Drosophila melanogaster: one gene and its partner. The gene in region 2 interacts genetically with the main gene of each other region. Each region holds a gene or a part of one and is shown on either strand. Other genes may lie near its edges.

Evidence for each region.
Region 1: of Fer3HCH (region 2) and ND-19, changing one suppresses a phenotype caused by changing the other (phenotypic suppression), as found in Drosophila melanogaster (one study listed by BioGRID).

The regions. Positions count from the first base shown.
Region 1 is NT_033778.4:24,662,491-24,666,010, reverse strand, and holds ND-19 (NADH dehydrogenase (ubiquinone) 19 kDa subunit), read right to left. Parts: upstream 1,614-3,520; 5' UTR 1,565-1,613; exon of another isoform or gene 1,555-1,564; intron 1,504-1,554; exon of another isoform or gene 1,496-1,503; 5' UTR 1,461-1,495; coding exon 1,332-1,460; intron 1,158-1,331; coding exon 982-1,157; intron 919-981; coding exon 828-918; intron 775-827; coding exon 643-774; 3' UTR 572-642; downstream 1-571. Other genes in the region: CG34214 (uncharacterized protein), read left to right, coding at 55-113, 173-560; CG30161 (uncharacterized protein), read left to right, coding at 1,682-2,437; Cpr60D (cuticular protein 60D), read left to right, coding at 2,709-2,720, 2,779-3,048.
Region 2 is NC_004354.4:13,106,852-13,110,321, forward strand, and holds Fer3HCH (ferritin 3 heavy chain homologue), read right to left. Parts: upstream 1,344-3,470; 5' UTR 1,246-1,343; coding exon 1,111-1,245; intron 1,049-1,110; coding exon 623-1,048; 3' UTR 531-622; downstream 1-530.

The DNA of each region.
Region 1 (3,520 bases), on a different chromosome or scaffold from region 2:
CATAGCAGTGCCTGTGAAGTGCGTCGTCCGCATAAAAATAAAATTATCTTCAAGATGGCTCCTCGAGAGAAAGTTGAATTTGTGCTGGTGCGCCTGGCCTTTGTTCCTTACATGTAAGCAATTAATATAAATACCCAAGAGATCGCCAGAAACTCATTCATTCCTGTCGCAGAAATCCTCTGTACCCGCGCATCAGCTACCAGATCAGAAAGCACGCTCCCACCGGATCGATTATCCAAGTGCGCGATTGGTTCGAGCATGTGATGATGAGGGAGCGCTCCAAGCTGCCCCCAGATGCTAACATACGCTACGCAGAGTGGCGCATCATCACCGGCGACATGGAGCTGTTTCAGGTGCAGGGCGTCCGCTTCGACAAGATCATGCTGGTGCTGGGCGAAGAAAACATCTCGTGGGTCTTCTATCAGAACACGCCACTTTTCCGCCGTATCGAGGGCAGCGCCTGCTTCCCTGTTAGCTACTGCGGATGCTGCCTGAACAACCAGTACCTGGATATTATGGCCAAAATCAAGCAAACTGTGTCGAGGAAAAAGATACGATGAAATAAATATATCGAGTACTAATGGAAACAAGAGTTTATATTAAGATGAACGCTTTCAAATTTCACTAGGCGCTGGCAGCTGTCTACTCCAGCCAGTGGAAGCGGGAACCGTACTTTGCTGGCGGCTTGGGGTAATCCTCGGGCAAACCGGGGGTGGCATCGGGATAGGAGACCTTCTCCTCCTTCTTGGGTGCTTCCCGAGCTGATTGGATGACCTGAAAACAGAAGTGATTAGGAGAGGTCTAAATAAAGCATGCCGAGAAATTACCTTGGCCCTCGAGAAGTATCCATAGGAGGGACGATCCCAGTCGAAGTTATCTTTGATACACTTGTCGAACACTCCCTGGGTCTTGCGGCAACTAAAGTATGGATGGACATTGGTATAGCATGATTGGAATATTCAACATTTACGGAGTGCTTACTGTGAAAAAGCCATAGTACCGCTGCTCTTATCCAGGCAGGTGGCGTACTGCGTGAACTCCTCATGGCAGGTCTTCTTCACCTTGCGGAAGAAGTCCAGGGCGCAGCTGGTCACGGCTTTGCCCTCCGCCAAACAGGCTCGCGGGTCATCCAGCTCCTGCCGGCACAGCATAAACTCCTGAAATTACACGAAGGAAAAGGTAAACAAACGGGGAAGGTGCTTTTTGAGGTTAGGTTATATAACTAAGCCGCTCGGATTTTAAAGAGGCAGCGGCTCCCAGCTTCACTTTAAGGCGCTTTTCACCTAAGCATTACTATCAGGAGGATTCCCCTGCAATCTGGATGTACTAACATTATTGGCCTGCTCGCATTGCTTGCCCAAATGGAAGGCGCCTGCCCGTAAGGCCGCCGACGATAGATTTAGCTCCTGGACGTTCAGCTCCGACTCCTCGGGCAGTGTTGTGTTGTTGGTGATGACCATAATAGCGTTGCAGTCCTGTGCGATCAACCAAAAACCTGAAAGGCTATGAAATTCAATAAAAAACAAAATAATTGTAGGATTTTGTTAATTTTACGTTTGCTTACAACACAACAGCTGATTTAGATCCAGGGCTGCTGAGACGTAGCTGTCAATAACAATTTATATCGATAGTGTAGCCGTTTCACAAAGTCATCGATAACAGGCTCACAATTTAAATTAAAATGATTTCTTTAATCTTATACATCTGTCTATTTTATAGTGCTGCAGCTGATCGCAATTTAAAAGTAGTTAAGTATGAGAATTCGGTTGACACCATTGTTAAGAACCTCATCGACAACTGGCAGTCGCCGCTAGTTTACCTGAAAAGCCGCGGCTACCTGCCGAAGGATGCGCCCGAAATGGATTTCCAGCAGCTGCAAGGGAACTTGGACCCCAAATTGTCGTTAAACGACTTAGTTGAGCTGAACAAGGATTCCAAGCGGGAGGCGGAAACCAAAAGCCAAGACAATTCCATTGGGCAGATTGATCCGCGGGCAGTCCGATCGCTACAAGATCCCAAGGACCTCGAGCTGAAGAAGATGTTCCAAACGCTGTTCTCTTCGAACGACAAGACTGCCTCCGAGGAGATCAAATCCAAGCTGGGAGTGTCCTGGGATATGAATGCTTTAAAGACATCCGCCCGTTTGGGTGCCAAGAAATATCTCGAGAAGTTCAACAACAAGCGAAATAAGGGGATGTCTCTCTTGCCAATTGAATCCTCAGATGGGACACTTACTAACGAGGCATCTCTAAATTTTTCCTCACTTATACCGCATGCCTTGGAAAAGAAAAGCAACGATTCTGTGAGAAAAACCACTATCAGTAAGCCAAGCTTTCTGAAGGGTGTGGCCAAGATTCTGAGCAATCCAGAAATTAGGTATAGAGACTGGGATTCCAAGCCTGCACAAGAAATCCTTCCGAAGGCCGCGGGCGCATAGTTTTCAAATTCATTGTTGATGATTAAATGTTCTTTTAGTAGCAAAATGGGTTAACAAAATCGCAATCAATTAGTTGGGGGAGGCTGGCCTGCTTCTGGTGCCAGAAGCAGACTCGATTGAGTAGCCGCAAATTTCATATTCATGGCTGTCTGGTTAATCTCAGTCATTTCATTAGCAGATGCGATTGAAACCCGTTTAGTGGGCTAGGCAGCTTCGGAGTATAGTATAAAAGGCCGACGGGCATTGTTTCATTTCAAGAAGCTGCTCCAAAATGCTGAAATATGTGAGTTTAATCGGATTTCAAACAGACTATTGGATAATCAGCCACCTCTCAATTTCAGAGCCTTATCTTTGCCCTTTTCGTCGTTTTGGCCAGCTGCAGTGAGGAGGATCTGCAGGCGCAACTTCTGAAGTCGGAGAACCGCCAGAACCTGGATGGAGCTGGGCAGTTCCAGCATGAGATCACGGTCAGCAATGGGATCCAAGTGAAAGCTCAAGGCAATGTGAACGGCATCCAGGGCGAATACTTCCTTCCCGGCGAAGATGGCAAGCAAATTCGCGTGACTTACACCGCAGATGCAACCGGCTTCCATCCGAAGGTTGAAGAGTGACCGAGTGACTTTGATGTTATGTTAATCTTAACTTATAAAACGGCGGTTTTTTCCATAAAATGAGTGGTGAGGTAATGTCTTGTTGTTCCAATAAAACGTTCCCCTGGTAGAACTCATATTGAGAGCTGTTGGGCTACAGTTCATAGAGCGCTTCAGCATCTTCATCCAAGGGTCTGTCCAATTAGACATTGCGCTTACAGAGCCCCTGAATGGGTCATGTGGAATGATGATGATTTCCTCATCCCACACTGCTGCACAAATAAAAGGTTACCGAACAGCACTCAGCTTTATAATCAATGCCGACAGGCGGCATAAAATACGCATTGTCATCCGCATAATAAGGAACCCAGCGGAAATGGGGCAAAGTGGGGGAACTCACCGGAAGGGAAGCCATTGGGGCTATTGTTAAACGGCAAATTCAAATATGGACTCGCCCATTGTGCGGGGCCATTGGAATATGTTACGGAAATGA
Region 2 (3,470 bases):
TATATTCTATGTAACTAAATGAATGAGTTACTATATTTGTCGTGTCTTGCCGACTTTCACGATCTCAATCTATATAGATATAGATAACCTATTAATACGTCACAAATGCTTATCATATAGACCAACTGCTTCATCATCAAGTTCCAAGTGTTTTATTATATAATGGGTAGAACAAGCGTAGTTAAATGTCAGGCTTCTTTTAACTTTTATCTTTATAGATTCGAGATTATCAACTGTTATCATATATATAACAGAAATATTGTGTCATTTGATTAGAAACGTATTTACAGAACTGGATAAAGCAGATGAGTTACTATCCAATACCATCAACACTGTGGTCCAACTAAAGGGTTATCAGATGGGTTTAGCTGTTGATTTCGTGAAGCTTTGTTTTTGGACTCAGTTTCGGTGTCGATTTCAATTAGAATCTTGCGCAACTCTTGGAGCCGATAAGCGAGTATATTTATAGAGTTAGTTTTACGCCAGCCACTTGATAATGTGGCAGCAAAAAAAAAAAAAAAAAAACAATTGATCGGCCAAAAAACGAATCTTTACTGAACACACATGGGTTTGCCAATTATAATACGTATTCTTCATCGGATGGTTGTCCATTTTGAGGTATTCATTTCGCAGGATGCATGCCGCTGCCCATATACTTGTCGAACAGGAATTCGCCCACCTGGTTTTGTGCCTTCTCCAATTGGCTAATATAGTCGGCCAGAATCTTCTGGCCATCCACTTGCTCCTGCAGGAAATTGGCCTCGATGAAATCGCAGAGATTCGGATCCGCTTCCTTGCCAGCCAGGGCGTGCAAATCGAGCAGATGCTTATTGACCTCCAGTTCCATTTTCATTGCGTGCTTTAGTGCATCCAAGGTGCTGGCGAAACAGGGCAACGGCTGTGGTACACTGCTCAAAATGATTAGACCACCACGCTTGTTCATGTACGTCATGATCTTCTCCGCGTGCTCCCGCTCCTCGACGCTCGCCTTTAGGAAGAATCGATGCATTCCGGGTGAACTGATATCGGAGCGATCGAAATGGTAGGCCTACGTGTATTGAACGTACTATATGCATATATATATATTCCCTATTGACTGCGGAACCTTACCATGGCCAGATACTGGTGGGATGCCTTCAACTCCATGTTGATCTGATCGTTTAGCTTCTTCTCGCAACTTTTGGCGAAGTTCTGACGCACCAGCATGCACATGTGGCGCCGAATGTCGCGGAAGCACCACGCCATGTCTTTTGCTTCTTTTTGAGTTTTTTTCTATCTTTTTTTTTTTTTTTTGTTTTTGAAAATTTAGAAACCTATACAATTTGGAATTGAAAGTCAAAACACAAACAGTGTGTCTAAAAGGCAACTGGGTCGGTTCGGACAGGTGTCGATGGATCGGATACGATCCATCTAAGTTCGTCCATTGATCTCATCTCCAAATATCCAGATCTTCACATCTCCGCATCGATCTCCGATCTCGCGATCTGGAGGAGGTGTTGATCCACCGTTCGGACGGCCAAAAAACAACGGGTTGGAGTTCAAAGTGCTGCCGGCTCTGATTTCACTTAACTTCCACTTAGCAATAGTGTGTACACAATCTCTCACTCGGTTTGTTCGCATCTATATACGTTCGTACGTATAGCTTATAGATACAGATACATATGTATATATGTACATATATAGTTAAATATCTGTGTCCAGATATGTTTGCTTTAACTTCAACAAGTACACACGAACACGGACACACTAAGTAAACGCAGTTATTGTCTTTTATTAAGTGAATGGAAGACGACTTTTGTCCGAGTTTTGTATAATCGTGTTATACCCTTTCTCATAGGGTATTTGAACGCTTTTCCCAAAATATTGCTGATACAGAAAATTGCGACAGCCAATGCAAGTTAAAATAAGAAATTTAATTTATTAAAGGATAGAAAACATAATATTATATTTTGTATTTCAAATGAAATGCTTTCGTAGGCGAGTTCAACGCGTCTTACAGGTTTAGGGTATTGAAAATGTAAAGATCTCCCAAGCCGAGGTTTCCAAACATTTCCTATAAACATCCAGGTGGTCAAAACTACTCGCACTTTACTACAAACATCCACTCATTACGCACATTTAAAAAACCAACAAAGCAATGGTGACTCTTGAAGCCATGTGCGCCCCATAAAAAGGCAATAATAAAGATATAAATGGTTCATTTTCACCGACACACAGGAAAACGAACCGAGAAAAAAAACACATAGGAGTTATGCAAATCATCGTTGAACTGGACAATAACAACCCAAATAAAAAATAGCAAACATTTTTAGATGAGTCTTTACGTTTTTTTTTTTCAAGCATTATGAAACAATTTTCCCTATGATTGTGATTAAATAATATATACACTTATTAAGTGAACGATGACATATGATCTTGTGTGTTTATAGAGGCAATTAACATGTTTAGTTCATTATGCAACAGTCGCAATAAAAATGAAAATTATTATCTTATTCAATATTTAAGGGTCAAATGGAAAGGCTTTTGAACACAGAAAAATTTCTAGAATTTTGTAGAAGATTTTACAGGCATTAAAGTTCTATAATTACTTAAGCATATTGAATTTCAACAAAATCCACATCGGAACTCAGTTAAATTTCAAATTCCACTCCCGTAATGCCAACAAGATTTTAATTTGGACAAGTGTGACAGCTTCAGCGACACATTTACATCACCTCCAAAATAATGGCAACAATCCAGTTTGCAGTGTCATAAAAACGTGCAACAAATTATTAACATTAAATTAAGCTGCGGAGTCACAAAAAAATTTTTATATACATTCGACGTGTTAACACAAAACTCAAACGTCAGCATATGAGGTAAAAAAAAAAAAACAAAATCCAACATAATTTGCTGAACATGAGGTCGAAAATAGCGTACGGCATACGAAAATATTTAATCGATTTGAGCTATTGTCGGCATGATACTCTTTCAAAGAGCATACAAACTTGTTCCAAAAATTAAACTATATATTAAAAAAATATTCAATTGTATGTATATAATTAAGTGTTATAAATGTGTACCATCTTAATTTTGGTATAAATATAAGCTGCTAAAATATCTATTACATCTTAAGGGGTATTCCCGTCTCGACTATTTCAGAATATCACGTATTTCTTTGCGCACATTGTTCAATTCAATAAATTGTGGCTTCGATCGCCGTCGCCAACATACGAATAATTTACAATACATACGAACGGTGTATCAGTTAACATTCATTTACTTTTGCTGCTGGTCATAATTTCCAATGCGTTTATTTATTTAAATTTTAATTTACAAGCACCCGATCGTCTGGAATTTACAGTCAGTCGCAGTGCATGCAAAACTGTGAAATACGATCGTTAAACGGGGAAATGAGTGCGGGAAAATTTGAGAACTTTCCACAAGGCATAAGACTAGTGTAAATAAAATTCAAAGGGTTGGCGGAACAA